Ovis aries: one gene and its partner. The protein of the gene in region 1 interacts with the protein of each later gene in a pairwise test. Links are inferred from orthologs where the notes say so. Each region holds a gene or a part of one and is shown on either strand. Other genes may lie near its edges.

Region 1 (4,229 bases):
AGGAAAACTTTAAAGCTTCCTCTTCTGCTACTTTGGGATAGTATTACAAATACGGTGGTTTGCTTGGTTTGTTTTCTAAGATTTCTCGACTGTGTAATTCTTCCCGACTTTTATCTTCACTTTCTTCTCTTATCTCTCTTGTCCCTTTCCTGATTAAATTTTATTTCACTCCTGGCAGTTTTTCTTTAGGGTAGGCTGTGCCTTAGAATGGTGCCTTGGGAAGTCAGTTTTGAAGGTTCACAGGAGTTAGTTTGCTCTTGCCCTTTAAAACCCTTCAGTTACAGCTACTGCTACTAATAGGCTTGGAGAGTTAGTAAATATCCTGAAGTTCTCTTCTCAGGTTCATCAGATGTTGCCCCATTTTTTTCCTTTTCCTCTTGCAGAGATGCCAATATCAACAGGGTCTAGAGGTTATTGGTAGTCTGTCCCCACCTATTTTATCTTGGAATTCTTGTGTCCCACGGTTTTCTTGCAATTGTTTTATCAATTTAAATTTTGCAACCTAGTATCTGTTTCTAAATAAGTATCTGTTTTTAAATAAGTTTTCAGAGAAACCAAAAACTATGCCCTGTCATTACTACCATCATTTTACTAGAACCCACTCCTCCATCCGATCCCTTCCCCCAAGGACTAGCTTTTGAACTACTGTGACTTACTTAGCACTACCATCTTTTAAGTACTGCTTGAGAGAGTAGCTGGTGATTGCTTTTTGAAAGACATCACTTTGATGAACAAAGTTTTAAACCTATTATTAGTGATTCATATCATAAAATTGCCTGAGAGCCATTATTTTTGTTCAGCAAGAAAATTTCTCAAGATGGAGAAAATCCAAGATCCTTACATCAAACCAAATTCTTTGCCAAAGAGTAGGGAGGTAAAATAATACTGAACAGATTGTGTATTATCAAGTTAGTCTGAATGTCTTAATTTAGAGAGAAAGAGACTGATACATGGCAGGTACTCAAATGTTTGTTGAGTGAAGGATCCAGGAAAAACCTAAGTTAGTTGTCACTATTTTCATCCTCTTCTCTGAAAGAAATGTTTTCCTAACTCAAACTATGTTTCAGATAAATTAAAGACAAACTACCATTCTGCAAGTTTTGGTAAGCTTTTCCTCATATACCAAATCTGATAGGACTCCAACAACAAAGAATACCTCCGGGAAGTTTAACCCTACCTTCCCACTTTTAGTACTTTTTAAAAAGAATAAACCATAATTTAAGAGACAGCATGACGGTGTTCCGGAGAAGGTAATGGCACCCCACTCCAATACTCTTGCCTGGAAAATCCCATGGACGGAGAAGCCTGGTAGGCTGCCGTACATGGGGTCGCTAACAGTCGGCCAGGACTCAGGGACTTCACTTTCACTTTTCACTGTCATGCATTGAAGGAAATGGGAACCCACTGCAGTGTTCTTGCCTGGAAAATCCCGGGGAGCCTGGTGGGCTGCTGTCTACGGGGTCGCACAGAGTCGGACACGACTGAAGTGATTTAGCAGCAGCAACAGCAGCAGCATGATGGTGTTCACTGGATTATTTCCCCTCATATTAAACAATGCTATCATCACAACTAAGTCAATTAGCTATAAAAATTTAAAAAATAATTTTTCCCCTGTAAAATATAAAATGGACAAGAGATCTACCAAAACCATTAAATAAACACAAGCAACAAACACTAGTCCCAAATTCTAGTTTATCTAATATACTGTTGTCGTTCAGTTGCTAAGTCGTGTCGGAATCTTTGCCCGTCTACTGCAACACGCCAGGCTTTCCTGTCCTTCACTATCTCCCGGAGTTTGCTGGCTTACTATTTTTTGCCACAGTTCCAATACATGAACTACATTTTTGAAACGTGCACATAAACTCTGCCCTGGGGTCATTATATACCGAATATGACGATTACAAGTATTATTGCTCTTACAATCTGTTCCTCTCTCCTTTCTCCCCCCTTCTTTTCTTCCTCTCCCCCCACCTTTCTCTAGCACACATACACGCACAATGAAGCCTTCAAATAAGTGCCCTGGTCCCGTCCAAATATATTTTTATTTCTTTCGGAACGGGGGATTGGTACGGTTCTTGGGGTAGTAGAAAAAAATGTACAGAAAGGCATCATAAATATGAACCATCAGCCACGTCAGAAAGTCTAGGCGTTGGGGGTGGGGCGGGATGCAGCTCGAGATAAGAGGAAGTAAACAGGGGTATTCAGCGGCTGAGGCCGGTAGTAATGTTCGTAGGTGGGTCTGCTGCAGGCTCTGGGTGAGGACCCGGGGGAGGCCCTAGGAGAACATCCACTCCGCTTCGAAACCTCTAGAAAGAAAAACGAAACCTGCAACTTCCTGGGAAGGAAGGGGAAGCACTCCCGAGAGCGTTGCTCCCCCGGACTTGATGTCGGAGTCACGTAGGCCCTGCCCCGGCAGGAGCTGTCAGAACCGCCGCATCCCCGCGGCTCTGCCCACAGGAGGGCGACCTGCGCGTTCGCTCCCACTCAGATCACCAGGGTGTCCTCAAACGTCCTGCTCCCCTCCCTTCGCCGCTCAGCCAGCTGACGACGAGCAGCAGGAGGCGGCTGGGAGCCCAGGTGCTAGGGTGGAGAAGGCCGCCGAGCCCCGGCTCCTCCGCCTTCTCGGCCGCTGCCCCCGTGGTCACCCACCTGATGCTCCTTCACCACTTCGCTGAGGCAGGGATATCGCTCCGAGATCCATCGGTAAAACTTGGGGACTCCCATTTCGGCCGTCAATATTAACTCCAGTCAGGGCCCAACAGAAACCAAACGCCCCGCCGGGGCCTACGCAGCCGCCTCCGGCCGTCGCTCCGCGGATGACAACACACCGCCCGCCCGACCATAGAGAGCGGCCGCCGGGCCTAGAGCGGCCGGCTCCGAGGCCGCATCCCCGGGGCGGGGCTCTAGTCCCAGCCGAAAGGCCCGCCGCCGAGCTTCCTGGTGGGTTACACGGAGGAAACCCAAGGCGTATTTGAATGCGCGTGTGAAATTCAATTCTGAAAATGTCAGTTGATGGAGCCGTGCTCTATCAGTGGATTTGGAAGTGGTGTGGAAACCCCATGAGACGACTGTAAGAATCCTGGCTGTCTCTGTCTCCTGGGATTACAAATCTCAGTGGTTTTCAACACGAATTTATAAAGGTCTGATGATTTATTTGGTTTACTTTGTGAGTGGAAATTTTTCGAGGTTACCACAGTTTCTTTTCAAAACTTTCTTTTTCCAGATTACTTGCTTAAAATAATTTCCTAACACCCCTCCATCCAGCTTACTCTACAACTGTTTACATTATGACTTTCCTTGAATAGGAAAGTATATGTTTAGTTTTCACATTTATACCTCTTGGGTTACCCCCATCACACTTAAACTGTACAAAAGGCAGAATTCTGTAAGGTGAACTTAAGCGAAATTACCTGTTATAAAAAGTTTTCCATTTATTTGCATATAATCTCATTGCTTTGTAATTACTATCAATTATTTTAAATCTTCTGTAATAAAACATACCCCCAAATTTATTATTAAAACTGTTTAGATTTTAAAACCTCATGAAATGTTACGTACTGCTTTCCCCTCAAACTACAGGATTCTGCATTCTGGCACACTTTTAGTATGGTAGCATCTTTAAAATTGCAGAATATTTATATAGTTTTCATATTCATGCTAATTGGCTAACTTTTCTCTCCCTATCATATTTTCAACCATACCAAAAAAAAGAGAGTTTTACTAAGTGAACTTAATAATGTGCTGTTTATGTTGTACATCTCTCTTACTAGACAATTCCCAGATGGCAGGGCAACTATTGTTAGCTTTGTGCACAAATATAGCACAGTGTTAACATAAAGAGTATTTATTCAATATAATTTTTTTGTTCAAATGAATCCTTATGCTAGCACTTACAATCAGTGAAAATTGTGAAATGAAATTAGGCTGGCTTGTTTTTTGCAAATATCTTTTTAAAGCATAAAAACATACAATATTCCATTTCTCCAGTTATAATACACAGTATATATTAAGAAAACTGTTTATTTCATAATAACATATATTATTTTAAATATTATTAACAATCAGAGAGAAATACCAGTTACTCTGAGAATATAAACATATGTTGTACTTTGGAATTGAATAGATACAACCACAGATTAATGCACCAAATGCATTAAATTTAGATTATTAACATATTGTTTAAAGTAATTCTATTTTACATATATGGGGTCCAACCAAGGTACATCTGG
Region 2 (3,478 bases), on another chromosome or scaffold:
TACTATAAAATCTATTAGAATAAATAAAGTCGTCATAAATAAAGGGCCCAAAGGCGGGGGTGGGAGAGCCGGGCGTTGGCAATGGCTTTGGCTACTTGCTTTTGGAGGGAAGTTTGAGCACCAGGATTCCCTTTCAGGTGAGGCTCCAATCACGACACTGGAGCCCCAGGATCTAGGAAGTAACTGGAAGAGGGCATTGGGGGCTTATTATTCACAGCATTGGGCAGGGGTGAAGTTGAAGAGGCTTACTACCTCCCTCAAACTTGCTACATTTTTTTTAAAAGACCCCATAAAACACTCCTTCCCAAACAGCCTGCACGCTGAGGACCTGCCCCAGCGCGGGGGTCAGGGGAGTGAGTTAATGCACTTTGGAAGGTGGGGAGAACTACATGATTACGAGTCCCTCAGTTCCCTACAGCCCCGGGACCCCTTGTGGAACCCACGCACAAGAAAAATGGCCCCCCTTAAGATCCAGCTGATCTGTACTAGGCAGGCACTTGTCACTCCGAAACGGAGATACGATTGAAGATGGGAAGTCGCCGAGGGGCGGCAGGTGGCTGAGGTGGCCCAAAAACCCCAGCCTCAAAGACAGGTGAGTCGGATCCCCCCAGGCTGCTGCCGCTGCTGGCATATTCGTCGGGATCAGATCCCAGGGAGTGTGCAGAAGGGCTCCGAGCTAGGCCACCCACAGGCCCCCAGACGCTGTTGGGGGTGGCCCTTCGGCAGGAAGGGCAACAGGCTGGGGTGGGGTCCCTTCGGGACACAGGTGTCCCGGGGGCAGCAGAGAAAGCAGAGGGTGAAAGTGGAAGGTCCCCGGGTGGCGGTGGTGGGGAGCTGGAGGGCGAGAAGGACCATGAGGGCACGGAAGGGCCTGCTAAGCTTGCTGGTGGTGGCGAGGTTCGGCGGCCCGAGGGCAGCCCTGAGAAACTGATGCTCTGGCGCAGCACATGGGGATGGCCGGGGGCAGCCAGGTCCTCGCTGGGGTTGTGGATGAAGTGGCAGCGCGAACCGTAGGGGCAGCGACCCTGGAGGTAGAACTTGTGGCAGAGCTCCGTCTTATACTTGGGGTGGCGACTGGGCTGGCGCAGCTCACCCAGGCCATGGGCAAACTGGCACTTGGCCCCATAGCGGCAGCGCCCGCTTTCTGAGAAGGTCCGACATAGTTCAGTCTTGTAGCGGGATGAGGTGGTGGGAGTCGCGGTAGGCGAGGTGGGTGAGGGCGACAGCTCCGAGCTGGGTCGAGGAGCCAGGGGCGCAAAGCCTGGGGGTGGGGGCACCCAGCCGCAGCTGCGACCCTCCACCAGGCTGGTGGAGCGGCCAGGCAGGCGGGCAGCGGCCTCAGGCAGGCTGGAGTCGGATGAGCTGAGGCTCCAGGGTCCCGAGGAAGCCCAGCTGGTGCTGGACTCAGTCTCTCCGAGGTCGGATGGCAGTTCAGGGCTCAGCGACAGGAGGCTCTGTGGAAACAACGATCGGTTAAGACACCGAAAATACAGGGTGACGCCCCGCCCCAGCTGCAGGGCAACCAAGGGCTTGCCAGTCCGGTTTGTGGGCTCCCGGCCTCAGCCCCACCCGCCCTAAGGGAAAAAAAAAAAAAAAACAAACCTCGGGTTCCGGATCTCAGGGATCCCGATTTGGAGGTTTATTCGCGATTTAAGCTCATCCCGAGGGACCCACTAATCTCGGCTCCCCCGGCTGGATCAGAGGGGCCCTAAAGTCAGGACAGACTGCTGTTCTCCAATTTTTTAAGCCTCTGGGCCTCTCGGGATCTGACCCCACTCATCGGTTTCTCCAATTTCACAAGTGGAACAGCGGGCAAAATTAAGCCAGGAGTCCGGATCTCTTCGGGTTTAGAATTCCAAGATCCTCTGGGGCAGGGAGCGAAGAGACAGAAGTCAGCTCCCGCTCACCCTGAGACTCCAGCCCCAGAAACGCCTCCGCGCAAAACCGCGCCCTCAGCAACTACTCGGGTAATCCAGGTGTGGGGGCCATTTCCGCCTCCAGACAGCCCCGGTCTGAGAAAAGTTCTCCAGCTTTCCATCTCCGAGGGCCACCCCACTCGTGTTGGGGCCGAGATCAGAAAGCCACAGGCTCCATTTTCATCCCCAGAGGATCACACTGATCTGATCCGGGAGGCAGGAACCCCGGGCCGGTGTGAAGCGCTAAGGAGTTCCAGTTTGAGAAGGGAAACCGGTGCGGGGAGGGCTGGTCCGGGGCAGGAATTTGTTTGCGGCCCTAGAAAGCCCTGGTTTGAGAAGGGAGTCAGGTGTTGCGGACGTCGGGGTGCCGATCGGTTGGGGGGCTCACCTTGTAGATGGCGGCGAGATCCATGGCGGCGCAGATGGCCGAAGGATGTAGAGCCGACGGAAAGTGGGAGCGCTGAAGTCACGCTGCGGTGGAGTGGAAGAGCCGCCACTTTTATTCGACCAGAGGGGAGGCGGGGCCAAGGGGAGTTGGCCCCGGGAGGGCGGGGCGAGGAGGGGCGCTTCCCGGACGCGCGCCCCCAGCGCAGCACTGCCGGCCCGAGTTCGGAGCCCTTCCGCCTGGATCCCGGCCCGAATTCGCCTGAGCGGGGCCCGCGGGCGGTCGCGACCCCGCGGGGAGTGCGTGAGGTGGGGGGTGGGGGTGTCGGCCCAGTTTTCAAGGCTGGAGACTGAGGCGCGGAGAAGGGAACCGGGACGGAGGTGGGGGCAGGGCTCCCGGGGGAATTGACAAGGGCAGAGGCGGAGAGGGCGTGCGCGCGCGACACTGATCGACAGGGGCGGGGAGAGGCGAACCGAGAGCAAGAGAGAAATGGAGGGACGCAAAGAGAAAAACATGGGGGCACACACACACACGGGGGGAGCTACGCACACAGGGAGACATGCACAGAGCGGGGGAGACAGGGTGAGGAGAGGAGGGGAGGTGGGAAGGCAGAGCTTGAAAAGAGACGTAGACAGTCCCCAAAGAGACAAATTCAGAGCGAGAAGCGGGAGGGAGGGAGAGTCGTACAAATAGAGAAGGGGCGAAAACTGGAAGAAACAAACATCCACAGACAGAAATCCGCAGGAGCAAAACAGTGAGAGAAGAGCCTCCCCAATCCTGGACGGTCTTGCTCCCGAACTGCCCAGATCCTGAGACCTGGACCGCCCTCTTTGCTCCCATTCACGAGGATTGGGGGTGAGGTGGGGTCCCACACACCTGGTGAGGTTGGAAAGGGGCCTCATTTCCCAAATACAGGACCGCTGTGTCCTCTCACCCTCACACAAATAATGGCGCTTCTGATGGCTTCCTCTGGGCTAGGCACAATTGCAGAAAGTGTCTTACATACATTAACCCAAGGAGGTATTATGCCCATTTTAAACACAGGGAAACCCAGGCATGAAGAGGCCAAGTTATTGTTAGTGAATGGCATTAGCTTAATACCAGGGCCTTAAATCATATTAAAGGGAGTTTGCACTCAAGAAAACTCAAGATTGGAAAGGGGGAGATCTTTTATTAT

Evidence for each region. The genes of interacting proteins can lie anywhere in the genome.
Region 2: the proteins of XRN1 (region 1) and ZFP36 interact in a two-hybrid assay, tested with the Homo sapiens proteins (2 studies listed by BioGRID). The link is inferred for Ovis aries from reciprocal best matches to the Homo sapiens genes XRN1 and ZFP36.

What each region holds. Positions count from the first base shown.
Region 1 is NC_056054.1:247,184,932-247,189,160, reverse strand, and holds the start of XRN1 (5'-3' exoribonuclease 1), read right to left. Parts: upstream 2,801-4,229; 5' UTR 2,725-2,800; coding exon 2,650-2,724; exon of another isoform or gene 2,190-2,649; intron 1-2,189. Other genes in the region: serine/threonine-protein kinase ATR, read right to left, coding at 4,196-4,229. UniProt on the Homo sapiens protein: Major 5'-3' exoribonuclease involved in mRNA decay. Required for the 5'-3'-processing of the G4 tetraplex-containing DNA and RNA substrates. The kinetic of hydrolysis is faster for G4 RNA tetraplex than for G4 DNA tetraplex and monomeric RNA tetraplex.
Region 2 is NC_056067.1:48,457,739-48,461,216, reverse strand, and holds ZFP36 (mRNA decay activator protein ZFP36), read right to left. Parts: upstream 2,329-3,478; coding exon 2,305-2,328; intron 1,455-2,304; coding exon 501-1,454; downstream 1-500. UniProt on the Homo sapiens protein: Zinc-finger RNA-binding protein that destabilizes several cytoplasmic AU-rich element (ARE)-containing mRNA transcripts by promoting their poly(A) tail removal or deadenylation, and hence provide a mechanism for attenuating protein synthesis.